Linked DNA regions of Anolis sagrei. The protein of the gene in region 3 purifies or fractionates together with the protein of the main gene of each other region. This does not show direct contact. Links are inferred from orthologs where the notes say so. Each region holds a gene or a part of one and is shown on either strand. Other genes may lie near its edges. The genes, in order: GEMIN4, TARBP2, AGO2 and DHX9.

What was found.
Region 1: the proteins of AGO2 (region 3) and GEMIN4 purify together in Homo sapiens (affinity purification with western blotting; 4 studies listed by BioGRID and IntAct, with this or other methods). This does not show direct contact. The link is inferred for Anolis sagrei from reciprocal best matches to the Homo sapiens genes AGO2 and GEMIN4.
Region 2: the proteins of AGO2 (region 3) and TARBP2 purify together in Homo sapiens (co-immunoprecipitation; 10 studies listed by BioGRID and IntAct, with this or other methods). This does not show direct contact. The link is inferred for Anolis sagrei from reciprocal best matches to the Homo sapiens genes AGO2 and TARBP2.
Region 4: the proteins of AGO2 (region 3) and DHX9 purify together in Homo sapiens (affinity purification with western blotting; 5 studies listed by BioGRID and IntAct, with this or other methods). This does not show direct contact. The link is inferred for Anolis sagrei from reciprocal best matches to the Homo sapiens genes AGO2 and DHX9.

Annotation. Positions count from the first base shown.
Region 1 is NC_090031.1:35,279,645-35,287,266, reverse strand, and holds the start of GEMIN4 (gem-associated protein 4), read left to right. Parts: upstream 1-4,616; 5' UTR 4,617-4,698; coding exon 4,699-4,708; intron 4,709-6,435; coding exon 6,436-7,622. Other genes in the region: GLOD4 (glyoxalase domain-containing protein 4), read left to right, coding at 370-435. UniProt on the Homo sapiens protein: The SMN complex catalyzes the assembly of small nuclear ribonucleoproteins (snRNPs), the building blocks of the spliceosome, and thereby plays an important role in the splicing of cellular pre-mRNAs.
Region 2 is NC_090022.1:190,334,374-190,341,829, reverse strand, and holds the start of TARBP2 (RISC-loading complex subunit TARBP2), read left to right. Parts: upstream 1-4,439; 5' UTR 4,440-4,522; coding exon 4,523-4,584; intron 4,585-7,456. UniProt on the Homo sapiens protein: Required for formation of the RNA induced silencing complex (RISC). Component of the RISC loading complex (RLC), also known as the micro-RNA (miRNA) loading complex (miRLC), which is composed of DICER1, AGO2 and TARBP2.
Region 3 is NC_090024.1:10,974,263-10,981,557, reverse strand, and holds the start of AGO2 (protein argonaute-2), read right to left. Parts: upstream 3,006-7,295; 5' UTR 2,797-3,005; coding exon 2,748-2,796; intron 1-2,747.
Region 4 is NC_090024.1:123,122,614-123,130,633, forward strand, and holds the start of DHX9 (ATP-dependent RNA helicase A), read right to left. Parts: upstream 3,005-8,020; 5' UTR 2,856-3,004; intron 1-2,855. UniProt on the Homo sapiens protein: Multifunctional ATP-dependent nucleic acid helicase that unwinds DNA and RNA in a 3' to 5' direction and that plays important roles in many processes, such as DNA replication, transcriptional activation, post-transcriptional RNA regulation, mRNA translation and RNA-mediated gene silencing.

The DNA.
Region 1 (7,622 bases), on a different chromosome or scaffold from region 3:
GCGGGTTAAACTTCCAGCTGCAGAAAATCCTGCCGATTGCCAGGCCAACAATTCAAGCCTGGGTTGGGGTGAGCTCCCAAGTGTCAGCCCAGCTTCTGCTCACCTAGCAGTTCAAAAACAGCAATGTGAGTAGATAAATAGGTACCGCTTTGGCGGGGAGGTAATCAAAGGCGCCCATAAGGACATGCTGTCGATTCGTTTGCCGTATATGTGTACTGTAATCCGCCCTGAGTCCCCTCGGGGAGATAGGACTGAATATAAATAAAGTTGTTTATTATTATTATTATTATTATTATTATTATTATTATTATAGGAGGTGTTTGGCATGGAGACTGAATAATAATAAGAATAGTCTTTCTCTTTCCGTAGAGTATGGCAGCCGACAAAAGCCAGGAGTGGTTTGCAAAGCACAACATCCCTAAACCTTCTGCCTGAAAGGAAAAGCCATGTATGGCTGCTTGGAAATACATTCCAGTGGATGCCTTCCGCCTCGAATGCAAGCGCCATCTATTCGGCGTTGGTTCGAAGGCTTCAGAGTCCGGTGCCCTCCGTCTGGTGTTTGCCAAATCAATGTATTGCCTTGGGTTTCATTCTGGGTTTCTTTTCCTCCAAATAAATAATTTCCCGTGAAGAAGAAAATATTATTATTATTATTATTATTATTATTATTATTATTATTATTATTTAATTCTATGTTATATGATAATATATATTACACAAAAACTATTATTATTCTGTCTATATAAATAAAAATGTCATGTTTGTTTGTGGGATTAACAGAACTCCAAAACCACTGGACGAATTCACACAAAATTTTGACAGAATACACCTAACAGTCCAATGAGTGTTGATCACTCCTAAAAATACAAAAACCCTCAGCAGAACGGACTTAAAAACCCCCAAAAATACACCATATATATATATATATATATATATATATATATATATATATACACACACACACACACACACACATACACACACACACACATATATACACACACATATATATACACATACACTCATATACACATGCACACATACATACACAAACTTGTATATGTATATTATTTATATACACACAAGCACACAGAAATATACACACATACATCTCCATATACACATATATACATGCACACACAAATATACACATGCACACACATATACACAATATACACATATAAATGTACACACATATACACACATCTATGCACACACATATATACACCCACACATACCCCCCACATATATATATCTATATCTATCTATACACACACACACATATACACAGATACACAAATATATACACACATATAAACACATATATACAATATACACATCTACGCACACACATATATACACCCACACATACCCCTCCACACACATATCTTATCTGAATTTATCTATCCATCTATCTATCTATATACACACACAAATATACACATATACACAGATACACAAATATATGCACACCTATACACCTCCACACACATATCTATCTGTATTTATCTATCCGTCTATCTATCTATAATATACACACACAAACACGCATATATACACAGATACACAAATATACACACACATATATACACACACACAAAACACATATATACAGACTGGGCCACAGCAACGCATGGCAGGGGACGGCTAGTAATATATAAAGGAGTCTTTCAACTTCCTGGGTAAAAACCCCCTTCCGAATTTGGGGAGCTCTCAAAAAACAGACCGGGACCCCCATTGAAATCCGGGACGCCGAAACAGATTGCAGTTTGCCCGGATTGCACAAGCATCATCCTAGCCTCGTGTACCAGTTGAAAGACAAAACATTGGGGGACCCTCAGGTTGAGAACCACTGGCCTAGATCCATCCTAGCGCCCCACTGGTGGCCCCCGAGACGGGACGATGGGACTCGGGAGTCCCCTGAAGGAACACAGATAGACCAAGACACTCAAGGTTGCCTTCCTTTCTCAAAGAGTGGGGGGGTTTAATGTCCAGGAGCAGGAGAGGTGGGCTTCGCTCCTTGTCCCCCCTGGGCCCTTCCGCCTTCCTTCTGGGGCCAGACTACAAGGCCCATCATGCCCTCACTGGTGGCTCCAAGGGAGGGGCTTGCGCAGGCGGAGGCGGAGGCAGGCGGTGAGCAGGGCCCCCTCTTTGCGCCCCGAGCAGAGCGAGCGCCGGGAGATCAGGAGGGGGCCCGGGCGGAAGGGGCTGTCCCTGCAGGAAGAGGAGGAGGAGGAGGAATTATTAGTATTATAATATATTATATAATAAGTATATTGTCTTAGTATACTGCTATACTGTAATATATTATTATATATTATATAATTAGTATATTGTATTACATTTTAGTATATTATTAGCATAGCACAATATTAGTATTATATGTTTCTATATTAAACTATACCGCTATACTGTAATATATTAATATATTGTTAGTATATTGTATTACATTTTAGTATATTATTAGCATAGAACAATATTAGTATTATATGTTACTATATTAAACTATACTGCTATACTGTAATATATTATTATATATTATTAGTATATTGTATTACATTTTAGTATATTATCTTATTAGCATAGCACAATATTAGTATTATATGTTACTATACTAAACGATACCACTATACTGTAATATATTATTATATATTATTAGTATATTGTATTATATTTTAGTATATTATATTATTAGCATACCACAATATTAGTATTATATGTTACTATACTAAACGATACCACTATACTGTAATATATTATTATATTGTATTATTAGTATATTGTCTTACGTTTTAGTATATTATCTTATTAGCATAGCACAATATTAGTATTCTATGTTACTATATTAAACTACCACTATACTGTAATATATTATTATATTGTATTATTAGTATATTGTCTTACGATTTAGTATATTATCTTATTAGCATAGCACAATATTAGTATTCTATGTTACTATATTAAACTATATATATTCAGTTAGAATTGATAACAGGAGCCCCCATGGTGCAGTGGGTTAAACCCTTGTGCTGACAGGACTGAGGACTGTAATATATTATTATATATTATATAATTAGTATACTGTATTACATTATATTATTAGCATAGCACAATATTAGTGTTATATGTTACTATATTAAACTATACTGCTATGCTGTAATATATTATTGTATTGTATTATTTATTGTATTACATTTTAGTAAATTATATTATTATCATACCACAATATTAGTATTATATGTTACTATATTAAACAATTCCACTGTACTGTAATATTATTAGAAATATTGCATGTAATATATAATATACAATTATTATAGCATTATAGTGTACTATATTATTATGCCACAACATGTAAAATACACTACCAGTATATTATACTGAACATTATTGTCATTCTTCTCATTATGATTGTATTAATATAATTATTATAATAATAGAAGAATCCCTGCTGGGATCGGAATATTTGATAGAATAATAATAATAGTAGTAGTAATAATAATAATAATAATAATATAAAATGATTCCTGCTGAGACTATGAATATTTTTAATAATAATAATAGAAGAATCCCTGCTGGGATCAAGAATATTTGATATAATAATATATATAGAAACAACAATTGATTTAATAATGTAATACAAAATAATAATAATATAACAATTCATATTATAATAATAATGCAATAATATATATTTAATAACAATGGATATAAAATAATAACAATGTAATATAAAATAATAATATAATAATTGGTATTATAATACTGCAATATAAAATAATATATACCAATAATAATAATAGTAGTAGAACAATACCCTATTATATCTTAATATAATAAAATAATTTGTTTTATTATATTATCATCAAATATAATATATATAATTTATAATAGAGTATAATATATTAATATAAGAATACATATATGAGTATAATATTATAAGAGTATAATATAAGTATAATATATGTATAATATATATTATAATATATTAATATAAGAATATATATTAATGTAATATAATTACCAATTATATTATATTAATATAATTAATATAATTATATTAATAATATTATATTATTAATATAATATAATATATATTATAAGAGTATAATATATTAATATAAGAATATATATTAATGTTATATAATTACTAATTATAGTATAATATAATTAATATTATATTATTAATATAATATAAGTATAATATGTATTATAAGAGTATAATATATTAATATAAGAATATATATTCAAACAATATAATTACTAATATTATCATCATATATTATAATATATAATTTATAATATATAAAATATATTAATATAAGAATCTAATAATAACGATAGTAATGATCATAGAGTAGGCCGACCATGCAGTGTAGGCCGGAAGGGGCGTGGCGTTGTCCGGGCGGGGGGCGGTGTCTCGGAGGAGGCGGCAGAGGAAGCTCTTCCGGCGGAACTTGGCTTTGCGGAACCCCGTCTCGGCGCCGGAAGAAGGGCAAGAAGGGGAGCGGGAAGAGGGCGGAAGTGTGGCGTCAGGCGGAGCCGCGCGCTTTCCACTGCAGCCGCCAGGGGACAAAAAGGTCTCTCCCATCCGGGGCTTTTGTGCCGCGCGGGCTGAGCGCACAATGCCCGCCTCTTCCTCCTCCCCTGCCACACTTCCGCTTCCGGCCCGGAAGAGGGGGAAGGAGAGAGGCAGCCATGCAGCTCGGTGGGTGGGAGATGTAGTTCGCCAAGGGCCACAGAAATATTTCATTTTCTATTTATTTTATTTTTGCTTTTCTACTACTTTTTTCATTTTCATGCCCAGTAATTTTATTTTCTATTATTTATGTCCTTTTTTTCCATTCATAGTTTCCTATTTGTATTTAATTTTTTATTTACTATTTTCTACTTATTTTCTTCTACTTACTTTTTTATTATTACTAATTATTTTATTATTATGTTTCCTGTCTCTTGGTTTATTTTCCATTATTTGTTTGTCATTCTGTATTTCCTACTTTTTTCTATTATTTATTATTTTATCAATTTTTGTTTAATTATTTTTTATTTATGTTTTCTAATTTAGGATCAGCTTTTTCTTTTTCTATTTATTATTACTATTATTATTCTTTTATATTTTCTAATTTTCCTTTTCTATTTATTATTATTATATATTTATGTTTTCTATTTTTCTATTTATGATCACTTTTTCCTTTTCTATTTATTATTATTATTCATTTATTCATGTTTTCTAAATTTCTATTTATGATCACTTTTTCCCCTTTCTATTTATTATTATTCATTTATTTATTTATATTTTCTAATTTTCTATTTTTTCTTTTCTATTTATTATTATTATTTATGTTTTCTATTTTTTATTTATGATCACTTTTTTCCTTTATTATTATTCATTGATTTATTTATATTTTCTAATTTTCTATTTTTTCTTTTCTATTTATTATTATTCGTTTATGTTTTCTATTTTTCTATTTATGATCACTTTTTTCCTTTTCTATTTATTATTATTCATTGATTTATATTTTCTAATTTTTCTTTTCTATTTATTATTATTAATTGATTTATATTTTATAATTTTCTATTTTTGTTTTCTATTTATTATTTTTATTATTTATTTATGTTTTCTAATGTTTTATTTATGATGACTTTTTCCCTTTTCTATTTATTATTATTATTATTATTATTATTATGTTTCTATTTTTCTTTCAGGTGTTTTTTTACCCTCCTGAGATTATTTTGGGGAGTTTTTTTTTAAGTGTTTGAACAGATTTTGGAATTTAATTCTATTTTTTGACATTTATAGGTTGTTGGTCACTATTTTTAAATAAAATGTTGTCATCTTCATGGCATTGAGAGTAATGCTGTGAGTCTCAGTCCAGAGATAAATAAATTGGATATGACTACTACTACTACTATTGGGTTTCTGTGAGTTTTCCAGGCTGTCTCCCATAGATGTGGATGAAATGCCAGGAGAGAATGCTTCTGGAACATGGCCAGACAGCCCAAAAAACTCACAGCAACCCAGTGATTCTGGCCATGAAAGCCTTCGACCAAACATCATTATCAGTCTTTGTATTAGCAATAATAATTGTAAGTAATAATATTGAGGAAAGCTGTCAAGAGATTAAAAAGGATATAATAATTCATAAAATAATAATACAGAAACATAAATATGTATTATATATCATGTAGTGTGTGTATATACACATATATACAATTTAGTTTGCCATGATATGAAAGGATTATCATCCACAATTTTCTATATTATATATTTATAAATTTTATGGTATTCATATATATATATATATATGTATATATGTATATATGTTTATATATATATATAAACATAATTTATAAATATATAGTAGACATCTCCGGGCTGAGGGTTGAGTAGCCCATCCTTCCCTTGAACAGAACGGTCTGTCTCTGTCCCAACAGGGCCGCTGACCATCTGCGGAGAAGTGACCGTCCTGCACGGCGGGTTCCTGCTGGCCTCCCAGCTGTGCCACCCCCGGCCGTTGTCCGAGCTGGCCAAGTCCGACTGGCCCGTGGTGGGGAAGCCCATCCTGGAGGCGCTGGAAGAGATCTGCACCTCCCACTCGTCGTACCCGCCGCAGCCGGACGCCTGGAAGAAGAAAGCGGCGGTCATCCTGTGGTCCAAGGTGCTCTTCTCCGAGGCCCCGGCGGTGTCCCTGAACCAGCGGTGGAAGGACGACGCCTTCTTCTCCGTCAGCAGCATGATCCCGGAGGTCAACCGCACGGTGCTCTTTGAGCTCTTCATGGCGGCCAACGCGCCCCGGCTTTTCACCGAACTTCTCCTGGTTCTTCCGGAGCCGCTTTGCCGGCGGGAACTGGAGGCGCTGGTGGCGTACGTGGCCAAGGAGACCTCTCCGCGCGACGTCCGCTTCTACTTAGACGTGTGGTGGGAGATCATGAAGCACAAGGCCGGCCAGGAAGACCGTCTGACCTTGCTCTTCCGCAACGTCTCCCGGCAGTGTCTCCCGGAGCCGGACGACACAGGTCAGGCCCCGAAGCGCTTCAAGAGCGACGCCCCTCCCTCGACGCATCCCCCCCTCGAGACGAACGTCCTTCCCATCTTAACGGAGGGTTTGAAGCTGATCCAGGGGAGCGTCTGCCCGGCGAAGATGAAGTGTTACGCTCTTGCCAACCTCGTGGACCTTGTGTCCATGTCGCTGGCGGCGTGCGACGCGGAGTCAGTGCCCATCAAGACGTACTTGGTGAAGGTCTCTTCAGTGGTGACGCTTTGGTGCAGCGACTGCGACAACCGCTATAGCAAATCGGAGCTGGACGAGAAGGTGAAGGAGGCTGAGCGGAGCGTGAGTTTGCTCAGCGTGGCTCAGACGTCCAAAGCGTTCTTGCTCATAGATTTGGCTTTTCTCCACGCTTTGTTGGAAGAGTGGTCTACGGAGCTTCAGGATTTCCTCAACGATCCGGAACAGGTCTGCTACGAAAGCTACCGGCTCCTCGATTGCTTGGCGTCGTTGCAGAAGCGGCTGGCGAGGTATGCCGAGTCGGGGGGCGACTTGGAGGACGAGACGGCCAAGGCCGTGGCGCGCCTCTCCGAGCTCGTGGCGGACTTCTTGAAGAGCGTCAGCCTCAAGCCA
Region 2 (7,456 bases), on a different chromosome or scaffold from region 3:
TTAAACATCGCGAAAACCAAAGTGCTCTTCCAGCAGTCACCAGCCAATCCCTCTCCAATGCCAGAAATACAGCTTAATGGTGTAACATTAGAAAATGTTGACCATTTCCGCTACCTTGGCAGCCACCTCTCCACAAAAATCAACATTGACACTGAAATATCGCCTGAGCTCTGCAAGTGCAGCATTTTTCTGAATGAAGCAGAGAGTGATTGAGAACCAGGACATCCTTAGAGATATAAAAGTGCTTGTTTATAAAGCTATTGTCCTCCCAACCCTGCTATATGCCTGAAAAACGTGGACTGTGTACAGATGTCACATGCAACTCCTGGAACATCAGCATTGCCTCTGAAAAATCCTGCAAATCTCTTGGGAAGACAAGCAGACAAATCCCAGAGAGCAGAAGAAGCAAATACCACCAGCATTGAACAGAGTTGATGGCTCCTATGCCATCAACTCTGCTGGACTGGCCACATTGTCTGAATCCCTGATCACTGTCTCCCAAAGCAGTTATTATACTCCCAGCTCAAGAACAGGAAACATAACATTGGTGGGCAGGAAAAGAAATTTAAAGATGGGCTTAAAGCTAACCTTAAAAACTGTGTTAACTGGGAACTAGGAAGCCCTGGCCCTTGAGCGCTCTAACTGGAGGTCAGCTGTGACCAGCAATGTTGGGGAATTCGAAGAAGCATGAATGGAGGGTGAAAGAGAGAAACATGCCAAGAGGAAGGCATGTAAAGCCAACCCTTATTGGGACGGCCTTCCATCTGGAAATCAATCAAGAATATACCTCTATAGTCACCTACGGATCCACCACTAAGACCCTACATTTGGAAGGCAATCATACTCAGTCACAAGTGACAGCCTATGATGGTGATCCATCAGAGTTAGGCCTCTGTTTTTAGACATCACAGAAGGGGAGGAAATAGCTAGTTATTTTACAGTATATTTAAAATACAAATACTTACTGCCAAATAGAGAGAAATAAGTGTATCATTTTCTACAATTATATTTCAGCTCAAATATCTTTTGAGATGGGAAGAGGGGCTGCATCTTGCTTTGCTTAAGGCAGGGCATCTCAGTCTTAATGTCCTAAGCCAACATGGCACAGTTATATATAGAGTGCAATCCTATTATTCAAAAGTCAGAGCAGTGGAGTTCACAAAGGCCCCATCCACACTGTAATCCAGTTCCTGAATCCAGATTATCTGCTTTGAACTGGATTATATGGCAGTGTGGACTCAGGGCTCTTCCACACAGCCATATAACCCAAAATATCAAGGTAGATAATCCACAATATCTGCTTTGAACTGGGTTATCTGAGTCCACACTGTCATATAACCCAGTTCAATGCAGATGTGGGATTTTATACAGCTGTGTGGAAGGGGCCAAGGTATAAGGCTATAGAATGGCCACATTACATTTTGTTTTATTTGGAGAAAAGATTTAGACTGTAATGAGATGGGATAAGAAGAAGCCCTACTGAATCAATCTGTGGTCTGTCCTCAGTTTCAAGAGCACAGCCTCAACTAGCACTCCAAACGACTTAGGTGTCCACTCAAAAGCCCAGGAAGCAATGCAAGTAGGAGGCCACAATTTCCTACTACAAAGACTTTTATTGTAGGCCACAGCAATAACATCAAAATGCATATAGAAATGCAATCAAAGGTTTTGTCACAGCCTAAAATGGGGTTGCAAGGCCTTTTTATCATTTTCAAAGAAAATTGAAAACACATTCTCATTGGTGTTCAAATATCAATCATTTCATTGGTCTAAACTGGCTAATACAAATTTCATTGGCTCTCTATGACTTTGACAGGCATGAAGACACACATGAGATCTTAACAATGGCACAACTTTAATCTATTGGTCTCCAACTCTGGCTGTCTAAATGAATCAGTCTTACCTGTTCTTCTGTTGCAAGCATAACTCGATTGGGAAACTAGCTAGCCAGTTTTGTCCTGATGTACTGTTATCCTTGAAAAGTAACTTACCCTCTGCAGCAATATTTTTCCAAACCATCTGCAAACAAAGGCCCTCTGCAAAAGCAGGCACATATGGCAGTTCGCAGCTTGGGAGTTCTCCTGGACTCATCACTGAGCCTGGAATCCCAGGTTACAACGGTGGCCAGGGAAGCTTTCGCACAATTAAAACTTGTACGCCAGTTGCACCCGTACCTTGGGAAGTCAGACTTAGTCATGGTGGTCCACACTCTTGTTACATCCAGGATAGACTACTGCAATGCATTCTACATGGGGTTGCCTTTGAAGACTGCTCGGAATGGGACGGCATACAGGGAGCATACAACTCCCATGTTACGCCAGCTCCACTGGCTGCCAGCTTGCTACCAGGCACAATTCAAAGTGCTGGCTTTGGCCTACAAAGCCCTAAATGACCATGGCCCAATGTACCTGTCCGAACACATCTCCCCCTATGAACCATCGCGGAGATTAAGATCCTCTGGGAAGGCCCTGCTCTCCACCATTGTCACAGGCACGATTGGTGGGGACGAGAGAGAGGGCCTTCTCGGTGATGGTCCCCCAGCTATAGAACTCCCTTCCTGGTGAGATCAGATCGGGCCCCTCCCTCCTGTCCTTCAGAAGGATGGTAAAAACTTGGCTGTGGGACCAAGCTTTCGGGACAGGGCAATAAAGCAATAGGAAATTTTACCGGCCAATTAGATTTGGCGCAGATGACCAAGACGATTTTAAATAGTAATAATAATAATAATATTTATTTATTTGATCAGTCATATGACCATTTCAAAATAGAACACAAGTAAAAAAACAAGGCAACAAGGTGATAAGTCTGGTTCTTCTTTCAAGAAATCTGCTCTTTTCTTAATAGCTTTCAGAATAAAAAGGCTTACTCTGATTATGTTGGATCTTTCCTGACCTTCAAGAGGGATGTCAGAATATCATTTCTGTTGGGGGACCTGCAGTTGGATAATATTGGATGTAAATATCTGTCTCGCAGTTCAATGTATGCTGGACAGTCAATTAAGAAATGTTCAATGTCTTCCACTGTTTGTTCTCCCCAGACGCAGAATCTCTGGTTTTAAATAGTGTTTTTTTTAATATTGAAATAAATGTTTTTTTTAATGTTTATGTATGCATATAATGAAATCTTGTCCCGGCATTGCATGTTTGCCATATATATGCTGTGCTCTACCCTGAGTCCCCTTCTGGGTGAGAAGGGCGGAATATAAATGTTTTAAATAAATAAATAAATCAGGACAATATGGGACATTGGAAGCATCCCTGAAAATACCCCTTTAAAACTACGTCTCTCTCATCAGGGTGCATCGAAAGGTCTCCTCGCACTTGAGCATTTATCCACTTTAATCCACTTTAAATACTGCGACTGCCTCCTGCAGAATTCTGGGATTTGTAGTTTAGGGAGTGGGCTTTTAAACTGCTCATCCAGAGAAGCCCTGGGCCTCCCTAAACTGCAAGCCCAATAATTCTGCTTGAAGCAGTCATAGCATTTAAAGTGGACTAAAGTGGACAAATGCTCAAGTGTGTTTTGTTGTTGTTCATTCATTCAGTCATTTATGACTCTTCGTGACCTCATGGACCAGCCCACGCCAGAGCTCCCTGTCGGCCGTCACCACCCTAAGGTTGTTAATGTTTCTTCCAGCAATTTTTACCCCAGCCTTGCATTCGTCAAGCCCTGCACATTGCATGATGTGTTCTGCATGCAAGTTGAATAGGTTGGGTGCGAGTAGACAACCCTGCCGTACGCCTTTCCCAATCTTGAACCAGTCTGTTGTTCCATGGTCACTCAGTTCTGACTGTTGCTACTTGGTCCTTATACAGATTCCTCAGGAGAAAGATAAGGTGATTTGGTATGCCCATACCATCAAGAACGTGCCACAATTTATTATGATCCTCAAGTGTGGGGAGGCCCTAATTCATGCACTTGCACTTCCATGGCTCAGAATTGTCCTTTGAGGCTTCTCTGCCAAAGAGGGCTGGTGCCTCACCAAACTATAACTCCCAGGACTCTATAGCATCCAGCCCTGGCAGTTCCAGTGGTCTCAAACTGCATTTCTTAATCTCCAATTAGGCAACGAATCCTGGCTAATAAATTACAGCAGGCATGGGCAAACTTGGGCCCTCCAGGTGTTTTGGACTTCAACTCCCACAATTCCTAACAGCCTATCGGCTGTTAGGAATTGTGGGAGTTGAAGTCCAAAACACCTGGAGGGCCCAAGTTTGCCCATGCCTGAGTTACACGCTTAGGAGACTACTACTCCCAGCATGCAGCGCGAACGAGTTTCGCGCGTCGACACTGAGAAAAGCCGCTCTCCGCGGCCGAAAGGCCTTGTGGGTGTTGTAGTTCTTCAGCTGATGTGGCTCGAGGGCCGGGAGCCGGGTGCGGACTCCATCTTCCAGGATGCGCCTCGCCGGGCGTGGAGGCGGTGGAGGCGACGCGGGGCCGTGGCTTCCTCTTTCCCGGCCATTGTCAGCCGGGCTGGAGGGCGGCAAGCGTTGTGGTGGCGGCGGCGGGGCAGGAGGAGGGAATGAGCGAGGAGGAGGCGGAGGAGCCTTGCGGGAACGCGAGGAGCGGCGGCGGCGGCGGCAGGTGAAGGACGCGCCGCGCGGGTTTGTTGCCAGGGGACACGCCCCGCCCCTTTGGAACGCCGTTGCTAGGCTACACCCGTGCCCGCGAGGCCCCACTTAGTAACGCGTTGCTAGGAGAGCGGGAAGGCCCCCGTGGGGTCGCCCTCTTTATTTAGGCCTGTTCCCTGCCATTGGTTAGAGAGGTTCAGAGGCAGCCTTCTTCCCATCCCCTAAAATCTGGGAGATGCGGATTCAGGTCCCCACAGAGCACACCCACATGAAATCCCACATTATCTGCTGTGAACTGGAATATATGGCAGTGTGGACTCAGATAAGTTAGGGCCCTTCCACATAGACATATAATCCAGAATATCAAGGCAGAATAACCTACAATATCTGCTTTGAATTGGGTTAGCTGAGTCCACACTCCCATTCAGTCTATGGGCCCTTCCACTAAACCCTATATCAAGGCAGAAAAAAACCCACAATATCTGCTTTGAACTGGGTTATCTGAGTCCACACTGCTATATATTCCAGTTTAAAGCAGAAAATGTGTGGTTTTATTCAGCTGTGTGGAAGGGGCAGATATTGTAAGATTTTCTGCCTTGATATTCTGGGATATATGGGTGTGTGGAAAGGCCTAGGCCCCTCAGATAACCCAGTTCAAAGCAGATATTGCGTAATTTTTTTTGTTGTGTCAGGAGCAACTTGAGAAACTGCAAGTCACTTCTGGTGTAAGAGAATTGGCTGTCTGCAAGGACGTTGCCCAGGGGACGCCTGGATGTTTTGATGTGTTATCATCCTTGTGGGAGGCTTCTCCCATGTCCCCACGTGAGGAGCTGGAGCTGATAGAGGGAACTCATCCGCGCTCTTCCCAGATTCGAACCTGCGACCTGTCGGTCTTCGGTCCTGCCGGCACAGGGGTTTAACCCACTGCGCCACCATGGGCTCCATAATTGTGGATTATCTGCCTTGATATTCTGTGTTATATGGCTGTATGAAGGGGTCCAGAGCCCGGGCAATTCCAGTGAGACCAAACCACATTAATTCTGCTATGTAGATGCATCCCTGGAGCTCAGTGGGACCCCTTCTACACTACCATATAAAATCCAGATCATCTGCTTTCAACTAGATTATATGGTAGTGTAGAAGGGGTCTGGGTGACCTTGGGTTAGTCATTTGTGAGGCTAAAGCAAAGAGGAAAGGAGCCAAAACACATGAAGCAGAAGTCCATTGGCAGGGACCAATGGTGAAAAACATGTTTCACTCATTTATTTATTTATTTTTGTTGTTGTTGTTACATTACAATTATTACATGTGATTTTAATTGGTGTTTTAATGTCATGTTTTTAATGGGTTTGGTTTTAATATTTTTGTATATTTACCAATGTATTAATATATGACATTGAATTGTTGCCTTCGTAAGGCTGCCCTGAGTCCCCTTCGGGGTTGAGAAGGGCAGGCTATAAATGTGGTAAATAAATAAATACATTACAAAGTTGTATTGCAGTCCTCTGTATTTCCTGGAGTTAGGGGCACAGGAGCCCGTGAAAGTGAAAAACCATAAATAAAGAAATTACTATATATTTTTCCTCAAAGGCCCCTTCTACACAGCTGTATAAAATCCACTTCGAACTGGATTATATGGCAATGTGGACTCAGATAACCTAGTTCAAACCAGATATTGTGGGTTATTTGGCTATGTGGAAGGGCCCTATGAGAAGACTTGGACAAATTTGTTTAAATTTAAGAAATTAAAAAAAATTCTAGGGATTTCTAGGTCTTCCAGCATGACTTTACAGTCATCTTTTGCTAAAAGCTGATAATAGAACTTCATAGGAGGATCTAAAGCAGAGGTGTGTTGCAACATGTTAATGTGTTGGCTGCAGTGTGTAGCTGTGTTGCACAAATGTAATGAAAAATCTCTGAGTTTATGCAAAATAAGCAATAAATAATATATTTCAAAAATATAAAGGAAAGTTTTTCATGATATACGTTGTGTCTCCATACATTTCATTATTACAGTGTATATATGTGTCCTTATTTATTGTGCAAGGTTGATGTAACCTCCAGTATGCTAGTAAAACTGGGTCACAAAATGATGCCTGTCTAAAAAGTGTGTCATCAACATGAAATGTTTGGAAAGCTCCTATCTAGACATTCCTAGAGAGACTCTTTCTGGAAATCTTTGGGTGCTCCAGCAGGACTGGAGGGAGTTGATCATGAAGTCAGACTGGAGGACCTAGAGACTCCTAGAGAGAACATTTCAAATCAAATCCATGAAAAATCCACAGAAGTAAATCCACAAAACATGGAGAGGTGACTGTATGATTAAATATATCTAATAGATGATTTTTGCCTCACTCTGTACACAACAGCCATGTACAGTGTCCAGTTCATTTCACCTCTCGTGACTTAAGACGTGGACTTGAAGGGACTTGAAAGCAACCAATCCTCTCTAAAAGAGAGGGGAGGGGTGAAATCCTTTTGCTATGAGTGCAGTGGATTCTATGTGACATAAGAAAGAATACAGGAGGGGAGAGAGTTGTTTTCTGATCTATTAATTTAGTATATACCTCACTTTTCCCTCTGCAACAGATCCAAATTGCTTGGATATGTCTATGCATGTTTACAAAGACACTTGTACATAGTGGGAGTGGGGTTGTGCAACATTTCAAAGTCTGGCATACTTCATCACGGGGCTTAAATAGAACTGCAGTTTGTCAGATAATTTTTCTATCCAATCTATATAAAACTAGGCCCTTTTGCTCACTCATTTTGATGTAAAACACAGAACTTATAGCTCTTTATTGCTGTATTGTACAAAAAAAAATCAACATACCTCTTGAATCAGAACATGGAAAAGTTCCCATTTTTGGATTACAACTCCCAGA
Region 3 (7,295 bases):
CTGCTCTACACGAATACTCAATATGCCCAAATGTGAACACTGGTGGAGTTTGGGGAAACTAAAATCTTGACATTTGGGAGTTGTAGTTGCTGGGATTTATTTATTTATTTGTTTGTTTGTTTACGGCATTTATATGCCGCCCTTCTCACCCCGAAGGGGACTCAGAGCGGCTTAAAAGGTATATATACGTACAATATATTATTAACTAGTACAACATCAGTTTTAAACATTGCTATATTGCACTATATCAATTAGACTGTAATATTATAAGTAATATTACATGTAATATAAATATATAATTATAATATCATATTATTAGTAGTAGTATTATATTGCATTACATTAGGTCTGTTGGAGTTAGGAAAAAGGGTTTATATATCTGTGGAATGGCCGGGGTGGGGCAAAGAGCTCTTCTCTGCTGGAGGTAGGTGTGAATGTTTCAACTGACCACCTTCATTGGAATTTGAAGGCCTGGCTGAGCCTGGGAGAATCTTTTGTTGAGAGGTGTTAAGATGTGCCTGGTTGTTTCCTCTCTGCTGTTGTGCTGTTGTAATTTTAGAGTTTTTTTTTAATACCGGTAGCCAGATTTTGTTCATTTCCATGGTCTCCTCTTTTCTGTTGAAATTGTCCACAATAATAATAATACAATATACCATAAAGTATTATTATATATAATAAGGTATTATTTTATAATAATAATTAGGTTATTATTATCCACAATAATAATAATAATAATGTATACCATAAAGTATTATTATATATAATATAGTATTATTTTATTATAATAATTAGGCTGTTATTATTATCCACAATAATAATAATAATAATAATAATAATGTATACCATAAAGTATTATTATATATAATATAGTATTATTTTATAATAATAATTAGGTTGTTATTATTCTCCACAATAATAATAATAATAATAATAATAATAATAATACAGTATACCCTAAAGTATTATTATATATAATAAAGTATTATTTTATAATAATAATTAGGTTGTTATTATTATCCACAATAACAATAATAATACAGTATACCGTAAAGTATTATTATATATAACATAGTATTATTTTATAATAATACTAATTAGGTTAGGATTACGTAGTTGTGGATTATGGCAGGTCTGGGCCAACTTGGGCCCTTCAGGTGTTTTGGACTACAACTCCCACCATCCCTAACAGCCTACCATGTTCTAGAGGCATTCCCTCCTGACGTTTTGCCTGCATCTATGGCAAGCATCCTCAGAGGTAGTGAGGTCTGTTGGAGTTAGGAGAATGGGTTTATATATCTGTGGAATGGCCGGGATGGGGCAAACAGCTCTTCTCTGCTGGAGCTAGGTGTGAATGTTTCAACTGACCACCTTCATTAGCATTTGAAGGCCTGGCTGAGCCTGGGAGAATCTTTTGTTGAGAGGTGTTAAGATGTGCCTGGTTGTTTCCTCTCTGCTGTTGTAATTTTAGAGTTTTTTTATAATACCGGTAGCCAGATTTTGTTCATTTCCATGGTCTCCTCTTTTCTGTTGAAATTGTCCACAATAATAATAATACAATATACCATAAAGTATTATTATATATAATAAAGTATTATTTTATAATAATAATTAGGTTGTTATTATTATCCACAATAATAATAATAATAATAATAATACAGTATACCATAACGTATTATTATATATAATATAGTATTACTTTATAATTAGGTCATTATTATCCACAATAATAATAATAATAAAGTATACCATAAAGTATTACTATATATAATATAGTATTATTTTATAATAATTAGGTTGTTATTATTATCCACAATAATAATAATAATAATAATAATAATAATACAGTATACTGTAAAGTATTATAATATATAATATAGTATTATTTTAGAATAATAATTAGGTTGTTATTATCCACAATAATAATAATAATAATACAGTATACCATAAAGTATTATTATATATAATTAAGTATTATTTTATAACAATAATTAGGTTGTTATTATTATCCACAATAATAATAATAATACAGTATACCATAAAGTATTATTATATATAATAAAGTATTATTTTATAATAATAATTCGGTTGTTATTATTATCCACTATAATAATAATAATAATAATAATAATACAGTATACCATAAAGTATTATTATATATAACATAGTATTATTTTATAATTATAATAATTAGGTTAGGATTACGTAGTTGTGGATTGTGGCAGGCCTGGGCCAACTTGGGCCCTTCAGGTGTTTTGGACTACAACTCCCACCATCCCTAACAGCCTACCATGTTCTAGAGGCATTCTCTCCTGACGTTTCGCCTGCATGGCTGTTAGGGATGGTGGGAGTTGTAGTCCAAAACACCTGAAGGGCCCAAGTTGGCCCAGGCCTGCTGTAGATGATACCCATGATTCTCAATACCCTCCTGTGGCCTTTGTGGGTGCCAATAATGGTGGGAAAGCAGCCTCTTCCGCAGGGGCCCTGATGTGGGGCCATTTCAGGGGAGGCAGGCTTCAAATGAGAGAGAGAGAGAGAAGGCGGCCAAAAACGACGGCGAGCGCAGAGGCCCAAAAGGGTAAGGGCAGCAAGGCGGGCGGGCAGGCAAAAGCATAGGCGCGTGCTGAGCTTCAGAAACTCCCCCCTCCCCCCCCCCCGCTCTCCCTCCTACTGTTAGCGGCGCCTCGTGCTCCCCACTAGGCCTCGTTTCCCCAAATCTGTAAATAAGGCTCCACAAAGTTGCTTCTCACCGGGCCCGGCGGCTCCCGCGACGGGGGAAGAGCCCCCCGCGGAATACATGGCGGAGTGGAGACTCGGCTGCTGCTTCTGCTTCTCCTTCTCCTTCTTGAGGGACGGTGGGAACCCGCCGCCTCCTCCTGGGCCGCCTCCTCCTCCTCGTCGTCGTTCTGCTTCTCTCCCCGACCGAGGAGGGAAGGAGTCCCCGGGCCAGGCGGCCTCAGGCCCAGAGAGACGGAGGAGGCGGAGGGAAGAGGCGGAGGGAAGCGGGAGGAGGAGGAGCCACGCAAGGAGGGAGGGAGGCCGCTCTCGCCTCAGGCCTTCCACTAGGCCTCGCCCTCAGAGATGCGGCCTCCTCTTCCCTCAAAGAAGCCTCCTCAGGGTTTCCCGCCTCGGAGCCGCCCTCAAGTGGGCCTGCTTTCCCCTCACACGAAACAAATACAAACAAGACTCATTATTATTATTATTATTATTATTATTATTATTATTGTCTGGTCGAAGGCTTTCATGGCTGGAATCTGTGGATTGAGGTCCAGGGTGGAAGAAAGCATTATTTTGTCTGTTTGGGGCAAGTGTGAGTGTTTCAGTTGGCTTCCTTGACTCACATTGAATAGCCTTGCAGCTTCAATACCTGGCTGGTTGCAGGTAACAGGGCTCCAGGCAGTCATGCAGGCCACATGAACTTGGATGTGTCTGTGGACAACGCCGGCTTTTCGGCTTTGAAATTGAGATGAGCACCAACCCCGAGTCAGACACATCTCCATTTCAAAGCCAAAAAGCTGGCGTTGTCCATAGACACATCCAAGTTCATATACTGTATTATCGTTATATATATATATACACACACACACTATGTATATATATAAGCCGCTCTGAGTCCCCTTATTTATTATTTATTATTATTCACCCCGAATAATTTTTTATTATTATTATTATTGTTCACCCCGAAGGGGACTCAGAGCGGCTTACTATATATATATATATACACACACACTGTAGTATTATTATTATGATTATATATATACAACCCCCCTGTTGCGCCAACTCCACTGGCTACCGATCTGCTACCGGGCTGAATTCAAAGTGCTGGCGTTGGCCTTTAAAGCCCTAAACGGTTCCGGCCCAAGCTACCTATCTGACTGCATCTCTGCCTATGAACCCACCAGGAGTTTGAGATCTTCCGGGGAGACCCTGCTCTCGATCCCGCCTGCTTCTCAAGCTCGGCTGGCGGGGACGAGAGATAGGGCCTTTTCTGTGGTGGCCCCCCGGCTTTGGAACACCCTCCCCATAGAGGTACGATCAGCCCCTTCGCTGATGGTGTTTCGGAAAAGATTGAAGACATGGATGTTTAAACAAGCATTCGGTTAATCCGTTGTAACGAATTGTGATGACTAAGGATTGGTTATACACGGACGATGAATTTTGGATTACGATTCCAGTTATGAGATGCATAGGATTGTTATTGGTGGCCCAATAATTTGTACTGTATATGTGTTTTATGCTTTTAACTGAATATTGTTTTTTAAATGTTGTAAACCGCAATGAGTCGCCGATTTAGGCTGAGATATTAGCGGTATACAAGTGCATTAATAAATAAATAAATAATAAATATATATATAGTCATAGAAAGGAAGGAGGGAGGGAGGCCGCTCTTGCCTCAGGACTTCCACCAGGCCTCGCCCTCAGAGATGCGGCCTTCTCTTCCCTCAAACAACCCTCCTCAGGGTTTCCCGCCTCGGAGCCACCCTCAAGTGGGCCTGCTTTTCGCTCACACGAAACAAATAGAAAACAAGACTCATTATTATTATTGGGAAGATGTGAACTCAACAATGGACAGGGTATAGGGATTTTAGCTTTGAAGATCCCCACCGCTATCACCAGTTGCGAGGAGGTGCTTGTGTGTTGCTGAGGTCCTAATAATGGAAGTATTTTACCTCAGGCACTTTTTAATCTCACCGCTGCCACCAACTGTACAGATGTGGGTGTTATGGAGGGAATTTACCTCAGGCCTCAATGGTGTAGAAGAGAATATTATGGAGGAGGCCAATTATTATTTGTAAATTAAGGTAACGGCCACCAACAGTTTGAGGTACCACCGATGAGATCTGGCTCTACAGACGCAGATTAGTTGAGATGAGACGGTTTTCAACAAAGATAACAACTTTATTGTGTACAAAGCTTATAGTTGCAGGCTGTTAAATAACTTATGGAACTTTGAACATCATGTGGTTTATAATACAGTCCACTCTTCCAGATAAACGGTTCCAGCCCAAGATACTTATATGACCGCATCTTGGCCTACGAGCCCACGGGGACTTTGAGATCGTCCGGGGAGGCCCTGCTCTCGATCCCGCCTGCCTCACAGGCACACCTGGCGGGGACAAGAGACAGGGCCTTCTTGGTGGTGGCTCCTCGGCTGTGGAACACCCTTCCCATGGACATCAGACTGGCTCCTTCCCTGATGATATTCCACAGGAAACTAAAGACCTGCCTGTTCAAGAAGGCGTTCGAACAAGAAGTGCAATAATTGGTAATGACGACAGGAATGGAACAACGGAAAATGATACTGGATTGTGGTTTAACGATGAGACGACGCAAATGGCTTTTTGTATTATTGATATTGTTGATGTTGTTGATGACGATGTTTTTTGTTATTGCTAGATTGATTTTAGATTGTGTCTTGTAATTTGCACCCTGTCCTCTCTATGTTGTACACCGCTGTGAGTCGCCCCCGGGCTGAGAACAGCGGTATATAAGCACAGTAAATAAATAAATAAATAAATAAATAACACAGCTTGTGGCTAACTTTCACTGAAGTGAAGCTCTCTAGTGAACAATGTTTCACTACTACAAATAGCCTTTCAATTTGATCTTCCCTCGATCAAATCTCTGATCTCTAGTCCTTCCTTAACTAGGGATCTTAACTAGGCTTCCGTTTGTCTTCTTTGACTAAAGAATCTGGCCAGGTTTCTTCAGCCCTCCTAGACTGAAAAAACACCAGCCGCTCACACACAAGCCTCTCTCTCAGGCCTTTCCAAGCCTCACTCTCTGGCCTTTTTTAAAAACGCACATAACGTTTCCTGCTTGGCTCCGCTCACTTCTCCCTCTCATGAGCTAGCCAGCCTCGTCTCCTTGGCAACGCTCACTGTGGATTCAAACCAGATGACTCCAGTTTTAGCTACTGTTACAAACAAAAATACATACTCTAACAGTTAAACACAAACATAATAACAATGGCTTCTGCACAATTATTATTATTAGAGCCGTTCAGCAGTGGAATTCTCTGCCCCGGAGTGTGGTGGAGGCTCCTTCTTTGGAAGCTTTTAAACAGAGGCTGGATGGCCATCTGTCAGGGGTGATTTGAATGCAATATTCCTGCTTCTTGGCAGAATGGGGTTGAACTGGATGGCCCATGAGGTCTCTGCCAACTCTTTGATTCTATTGTCTTATCGAAGGCTTTCATGGCCAGATTCACTGGGTTGCTGTAAGTTTTTTGGGCTGTATGGCCATGTTACAGAAGCATTTTCTCCTGACGTTTCGCCAGCATCTAGGGCAGGCATCCTCAGAGTTTGCGAGATTTATTGGAAACTAGGCAAGTGGGGTTTACATAGAATCAAAGAGTTGGAAGAGACCTCCTGGTCTTTAACCCACTGCGCCACCGTATATATAGTATAATATACTACGTATAGTATAATACTAATATTGTGCTATGCTAATATACTGTATAAACTTATATTAATAGTAAGACAATATTATACTATATAATAATATATATAACACTAATATTGTATTGTATTTTGTTGTTCATTCGTTCATTCGTCTCCGACTCTTCGTGACCTCATGGATCAGCCCACGCCAGAGCTCCCTGTCGGCCGTTACCACCCCCAGCTCCCTCAAGGTCAGTCCAGTCACTTCAAGGATGCCATCCATCCATCTTGCCCTTGGTCGGCCCCTCTTCCTTTTGCCTTCCACTTTCCCCAGCATCATTGTCTTCTCTAGGCTTTGCTGTCTCCTCATGATGTGGCCAAAGGACTTCAACTTTGTCTCTGGTATCCTTCCCTCCAATGAGCAGTCGGGCTTTATTTCCTGGAGGATGGACTGGTTGGATCTTCTCGCAGTCCAAGGCACTCTCAGCACTTTCCTCCAACACCACAGCTCAAAAGCATCTATGTTCCTTCGCTCAGCCTTCCCTAAGGTCCAGCTCTCACATCCGTAGGTGACTACATATCTCTGGTTGTATTGTATTGTATAGACATATATTATAAATAATATTGTAATGTATACAATCTTCACAATATAATTATACAATATAATAGAAATATATTAATTATAATAATACATAAGAATATTAATTATAATTGGTATAATATTAATATACCACTAATTAATATATTAGTTATTATACCACTGATAATATACAATAATATATAATGATAATACTGTTTTATTTTGTATATTGGTACGTTTTAAGTTGCCTTATAAGGTTTTTAATTGAAAGTGTGGTGGAGGCTCCTTCTTTGGAGGCTTTTAAGCAGAGGCTGGATGGCCATCTGTCAGGGGTG
Region 4 (8,020 bases), about 110 Mb from region 3:
ATTTCAGGGCCCTTCCACATGGCCATTTAACCAAGAATATCAATGCAGATAATCCACAATATCTGCTTCGAACTGGGTTATTTGAGTCCACACTGCCATATAATTCAGTTCAAAGTGGATTTATACAGCTGTATGGAAGGGGCTTCAGAGAAGGGATACTCTGTCTGCAATAACCCTATAGTATAATATTTGGAAATACAGCTAGAAGAGAATAACTAGGATTGAAGTGTACTTTGGGAAATATAATATAAAATGAGGAAATTGTGGCCCTTAGATGGCTAGGAAATTTAGGCTGGATCTACACTGCCATATAATCCAGATTTTCAAATCAGATAATCCTCATTCTCTCTTTGAACTGGATTATATGAATATACTGCCACATAATCCAGTTCAAAGAAGATAATCTGAATTTTATATGGCAGTGTAGATGGGACCTTAGGATTCAAATACAACAGTCAGCAAAAGATTTGTATTAAAAAACCACACTTATTGGACTGAAACACAGGTGCTTATAATTAAAATGCCTTCTCCATTGCCTTCCCCATCCAATACAAAGCCAACAGCAAACGACTGAAAGGAGGCACGCTTGTCTCTTCTACTCATACCCCTTTTACACGACCATATAACCCACGTTAACTGCTTTGAACTGGATTACATTTTTTTTACACTGCCATATAACCCAGTTCAAAGCAGATAATCTCAATTTTATATGGCAGTGTAGAAGGATTCCCAGATAAATGATACTTTGCTCTTCTCTAAATGCAAAACAGGAAGCCTCACATCAATACAGTAAAACCAAGTATCACTGTTTCCCTCCCAGGCCCCTTCTACACATCTGTATAAAATTCTGATTATCTTTGAACTGGATTATATGGCAATGTAGACTCAAGATAATCCAGTTCAAAGCAGATAATGTGGATTATATATTTTATATTAAATGTAATATTACTAATAATATTACAGGATAATGTTACCGTGCAATGTAATATATAATATTAATATTGTGCTATGATAGCAATATAATATATTGTATTTACTTTTTACTTGTAAGCCATTCTGAGTCCCCTTCGGGGTGAGAAGGGCAACATATAAATGTTGCAAATAAATAAATATTCTGGATTATATGGCAGTGTAGAAGGGCCCCCTCCAAATGTGTCCTATGAGGGGACTTCTTGTCACGCAGTGTCTCCACACAGCCATATAAGCCAGAATATCAAGGCAGAAAATCCCACAATATCTGCTTTGAACTGGGTTCTACACTGCCATATAATCCAGTTCAAAGCACAAAATATGGGATTTTATTCAGTTGTGTGGAAGGGGCCTTTGTGACTTGGTTTTTCTGTCCTGACAGAGCAAACAAGAAAAGCATCCAGGGCCTTTCCACACAGCCATATAATCCAGAAAAATCCACAATATCGGCTTTGAACTGGGTTATTAATCCTCAAGGCCTTTCCACACATAATAATAATAATAATAATAATAATAATAATAAACCTTTATTTGTACCCCGCTACCAAATTAAACATGAGCCAACAATGTGATGTGGTGGCACAGAAAGCCAATGGGATTTTGGCCTGCATCAATAGCATAATGACTAGGTCCAGGGAAGTAATGCTACCCTTCTATTCTGCTTTGGTTAGACCACACCTGCAATATTTTGTCCAATTCTGGGCACCACAATTCAAGGGAGATATTGACAAGCTGGAATGTGTCCAGAGGAGGGTGACTAAAATGATCAAGGGTCTGGAGAACAAGCCCTATGAGGAGCGGCTTAAGGAGCACCCCTGACAGATGGCCATCCAGCCTCTGTTTAAAAGCTTCCAAAGAAGGAGCCTCCACCACACTTCGGGGCAGAGAGTTCCACTGATGAACAGCTCTCACAGTCAGGAAGTTCTTCCTCATGTTCAGATGGAATCTCCTTTCTTGTAGTTTGAAGCCATTGCTTTGCGTCCTAGTCTCCAGGGAAGCAGAAAACAAGCTTGCTCCCTCCTCCCTGTGGCTTCCTCTCACATATTTATACATGGCTATCATATTTATTTATTTATTTCAGTTTTGTATACCAAGCTTCTCAACCTCGTTGAAGGACTCAGCCCTGTTTACAGCCATAAAAACATATACATTCATTAAAATATCATATATCACAAATTACAAAACAACTTTAGAAACACTAAATATAAAACTACAGTGGTCAGTCGTCCTAATAAGATGGATCTATATCCACTTCCATCCAGAGTCCTATGGTGTTGTCTCTTTCCTCGAAGGCCTGACTCCACAGCCACGTCTTCACCCGTTTCCTAATGTTAGGATGGATGGGGCGGTTCTGGCCTCCACAGGGAGAGAGTTCCAGAGTCGTGGGGCCTTCCTCTCAGCCTTCTCTTCTTTAGGCTAAACATGCCCAGCTCCTTAAGCCGCTCCTCATAGGGTTTGTTCTCCAGACCCTTGATCATTTTAGGTTTATTAGTCCTCAGGGCCTTTCCACACAGCCATATAATCCAGAATAATCCACAATGTCGGCTTTGCACAGGGTTATTAGTCCATACGACCATATATTCAAGTTCAATATGGATTTTCTACAGCTGTGTGGAAGGGGTCACAGTTAGGGAAATCCACCCTCTGAGGAAACCTGAGGCCGGCGTATAAAAACCCAGCATGCACAGCTCCAGCCTCCCTCAACTTCTGCGCCTGCGTGTTTTTGCCATAGTCCCTTTACCGGCTCCCTAGTTTCACGCGCATGCGCACTAGCTAAGGCGGGCCGCACTCTGGCGCATGCGCACATTCTCCCCGGCCTTTTCATTCCCCTGCGCCCCTCGTTCCCTCCCTCCTGCTAAGGCTCTGCACCCCAAATATCAACACACCAGAGGCACGCCCGCCACCTAGTCCTGCTGGGGAGAGCTTTGCTTCAAGCGCAAGCCAGCTCCGCAGCCTTCCACCTCGAGCAGCTCTCTTCTTGCCGACGCCAGCTCTCACAGAGTGGCAAGATGGCGGCAACCGCTTCGCGCATGCGTACACCTCACTGCGCCTAGGAAGGCGTGTCTGCACTCAGGGAGGAAAGCGCGCCCCGGGTGGACGGAGGTGGAACTACACTGGTCTCTTCTGCACAACCACTCAGAGATGTAGAATCATAGAATCAAAGAGTTGGAAGAGACCTCATGGGCCATCCAGCCCAACCCCCTGCCAAGAAGCAGAAATATTGCATTCAAATCACGCCTGACAGATGGCCATCCAGCCTCTGTTAAGTCCTGTCTTGTTTCCACAGTGGCCATCCTACTGTTAGTCTCCTGTAGCACGAACAATAGCCAGAAAAGTGCCATAACACTTAACAGTTCTGTACATTTTTAGTGTTTACTAGCCATCCCCTGCGACGCGTAGCTGTGGCCCATATGGGGGTTCTATGTGGGAGGTTTGGCCCAATTCTATCATTGGTGGGGTTCAGAATATTCTGTGATTGTAGATGAACTATAAATCTCAGCAACTACAACTCCCAAATGTCAAGATTCTATTTTCCCCAAACTCCACCAGTGTTCACATTTGGGAATATTGAGTATTCGTGTAGAGTTTGGTCCTGATCCACCATTGTTTGAGTCCACAGTGATCTCTGGATGTAAGTGAACTACAACTCCAAAACCAAAGGACACTGCCCACCAAACCCTTCTGTTGGTCATGGGAGAACTGTGTGCCAAGTTTGGTTCAATTCCATAGTTGGTGGAGTTCAGAATGCTCTTTGATTGTAGGTGAACTATAAATCCCAACAACTACAACTCCCAAATCTCAACATTCTATTTCCCCCAAACTCCACCAGTGTTCACATTTGGGCATATTGAGTATTCGTGTAGAGTTTGGTCCTGATCAATCATTGTTTGAGTCCACAATGATCTCTGGATGTAGGTGAACTACAACTCCAAAACCAAAGGACACTGCCCACTAAACCCTTCTGTTCGTCATGGGAGAACTGTGTGCCAAGTTTGGCTCAATTCCATAGCTGATGGTGTTCAGAATGCTCTTTAACTGTAGGTGAACTATAAATCCCAGCAAAGGCACTGCAGACTACTTCAACCAGAGAAATCAGCCATAGCAGAGCACCTGATGAACCAACAGTATCCAACCTGGACACAGCATTTTATTTGAGAACACAGAACACAGAAATGCTGGACCACTCTCACAACCACCATGTCAGGGTACACAGAGAAGCCATTGAAATCCACAAGCATGTGGACAATTTCAACAGCAAGGAAGAAACCATGAAAATGAACAAAATCTGGCTACCAGTATTAAAAAACTCAAAAATTACAACAGCAAAACAACAGAGAGTAAACAATCAGGCACATCTTAACACCTCTCAACAAAAGATTTTTCCAGGCTCAGCCAGGCCTTCAAATGCTAATGAAGGTGGTCAGTTGAAACATTCACACCTAGCTCCAGCAGGGAAGAGCTCCTTGCCCCACCCCAGCCATTCCACAGATATATTAACCCACTTTCCTATTTCCAACAGACCTCACTACCTCTGAGGATGCTTGCCATAGATGCAGGCGAAACGTCAGGAGAAGTGCCTCTGGAACATGGCCCTATAGCCCGAAAAAACCCACAAGAACCTAGTGCCATAACACTTAACAGTTCTGTATATTTTTAGAGTTTACTAGCCATCTTCTGCCACACGTTGCTGTGGCCCACATGGGTGTTCTGTGTGGGAGGTTTGGTCCAATTGTATCATTGGGGGGTTCAGAACGCTCTGTGATTGTAGGTGAGCTACAACAACTACAACTCCCAAATGTCAAGATTCTATTTTCCCAAAATGGCAAAATAAACTCCCAGTAAATAAAATAGACAAGCTCCCAATAGGTTCCTTAGACAACAGAAAACCCCAGCTATATCGCAACATGCTAAAGAAACTGGAACAAAACGGAATAACAAAGATTGAGGACTTACTAAAACCAGACGGGACTGTAATTCAATGGGAGGAAATAAAAGATAAATGCGGGCATGGAAATTGGTTACAATGGGGAGGGCTGTCTAAAAAGCTAATAGAATTGAAGAATAAGGAAACCTCAGAAACAAATCTCGACAAAATAATAAAATGGAAAGTAGAGAGGGAGAAAGGAATCATGGGATTTATATATAACACAATCACCGAAATACAATACAACACAAAATCTACCCTAATGGAAGTCTGGAAGGAGGAATTAAATTGCAGTGAGAGAGAAATAGACAATTGGATTAATTCAATCAATAAAATAAAACACCTAAAGATTAAAGAAATGCAACGAAAAATATTGACAAAATGGTACAGAACTCCTGTGCAACTGGCGCATATCACAAAAACATGCCCAAAATTATGTTGGCACAACTGTGGTAAAATAGGAACATATGCCCACATGTGGTGGGAATGTGAAAAAATCCAAAAGTTCCAAGAAATAATCAGGAAAGAAATGGAGGAGCTATTAGGGATCAAGATAGAATGGAATAAGGCCCAATTTTTCACTCAGAAATTCGAAAATAAAGAGGAATATAAGGAAAGTGAGGAAATAATAAAACATATGATAGAGGGAATTAAAGCCTCAGTGGCCCTGGGCTGGAAAGACCACAAGAAATGGGATACAAAAACCTGGTACAAATATTTAGCAGATTACCTTCTTCAAGATGATATTAGCGAAAGGAAAAGTTACTATATGACGGGTCAAAGCAAAAAGACATGGAAAGCAAAATGGAAGGGTCTCATATATAGAATAAAGGGGAAAGATAAATATACGGTGTTGAACAAAACTATTCTCATGATTGAACAATTGTAATAAACACAGCTAAAGTATCTATTTGTTCCGGGGGGGGGGGGGGTGTGCTGGTGGCGGGATTGGGGAAAAAACTGGTATTATGAATGTTATTTTCAAAGATGGAATGTTTCTATGTATTATACAATAGTAATTTTGAATGTTATTTTCAAAGATGGAATGTTTCTATGTATTATACAATAGTAATAACAAAATTAAAAAAAAACCTTAAAAAAAATAAAAAAAAACATCTTAAAAAAAAAAAAGATTCTATTTTCCCCAAACTCCACCAGTGTTCACATTTGGGCATATTGAGTATTCGTGTAGAGTTTGGTCCTGATCCATCATTGTTTGAGTCCACAGTGATCTCTGGATGTAGGTGAACTACAACTCCAAAACCAAAGGACACTGCCCACCAAACCCTTCTGTTGGTCATGGGAGAACTGTGTGCTAAGTTTGGTTCAATTCCAGAGTTGGTGGAGTTCAGAATGCTCTTTGATTGTAGGCGAACTATAAATCCCAGCAACTACAACTCCCAAATGACAAAATCAATTTTTTTTAGTGAAGGACATACATTGGATTGTTCGGTGTCTTGTGTCCAAAGTTGGTGTCGATTCGTCCAGTGGTTTTTGAGTACTGTTAATCCCACAAACGAACATTACATTTTTATTTATATAGATTAGATACCATACTTTGAGTAACTTTCCAATGAGGATTGGAAGGAAAAAATGTAGGCAAAGGCATTCGACACAGTGAATTGCAGTGCTATCTCGACCATCCTCCAAAAAATCCGGTGCCCTAACAAATTTGTGAACATCCTGTGGCTCCTCCATGGTTTTTTTTTTCCGTGTCAGGAGCGACTTGAGAAACTGCAAGTCGATTCTGGTTTGAGAGAATTGGCCGTCTGCAAGGACGTTGCCCAGGGGACGCCCAGATGATTTGATGTTTTTGGCTCAGTGGATTAAACCCCTGTGCCAGCAGGTCGCAGGTTCGAATCCGGGGAGAGGTGGATGAGCTCCCTCTGTCAGCTCCAGCTCCCCATGCTGGGACATACATCCTTGCCGCCCTACATGAGAGCCATGTATGACTTAGGGCCTTTTACTCAAGCACTTAAGACCTGGCTTTTTACTAGAGCATTCGATCCCTGTTAATTTTTAATTTTTGTATGTATTTTATCTTTTACAATTTAGCTGTAAATCGCCCAGAGCATTCTTGGATGGAGGGCGATTAATAAGTAATTAAATGATGATGATGATAACATGAGAGAAGCCTCCTCCATGATGACATGATGGCAACAGTCTTGGATAGCAATGGCTCCCAAAGTGACCCATTTAAGGTAGAATCAGGTGTCAAACAGGGATGTGTTATTGCCCCAACCTTATTTTCCATTTTCAATGCTATAATACTTCTTCTTGTTGACGGAAAGCTTCCCACCTGAGTAGAAATCATCTATCGGACAGATGGTAAGCTACAGGTTCTTGTGGGTTTTTTCGGGCTATATGGCCATGTTCTAGAGGCATTTTCTCCTGACGTTTCGCCTGCATCTATGGCAAGCATCCTCAGAGATGGTAAGCTATTTAACCTCAGCAGACTGAAAGCTAAAACCAAGGTTACAACAACATCTGCTATAGAACTTCAATATACTGATGACAACATCATCTGTGCACATTCAGAAGAAGACCTACAAGCCACTCTAACACCTACGCAGAAGCATACAAGAAGCTCGTCTTGTCATTGAACATCGAGAAAACCAAAGTGCTCTTCCAGCAGTCACCAGCCAATCCCTCTCCAATGCCAGAAATACAGCTTAATGGTGTAACATTATATTGCTTTCAATTGTGTTGTTGTTTTATCTGATGTTTTAATTGGTTAAAGTGTTTTACATGTGTGTTTTAATTGTAATCTTGGGGGTGTCCCTTGTAAGCCACACCGAGTCCCCTAGGGGAGATGGTTGGCGGGGTATAAAAATAAAGTTATTATTATTATTATTATTATTATTATATTATAACATTAGAAAATGTTGATCATTTCCGCTACCTTGGCAGCCACCTCTCCACAAACGTCAACATTGACACTGAAATACAACACCGCCTGAGTTCTGCTAGTGCAGCTTTTTTCCAAATAAAGCAGAGTGTTTGAGGACCAGGACATCCGTAGGGATACCAAGGTGCTTGTCTATAAAGCTATTGTCCTCCCAACTCTGTTATACGCCTCCGGGACGTGGATTATCTACAGACATCACATGCAACTCCTAGAATGAT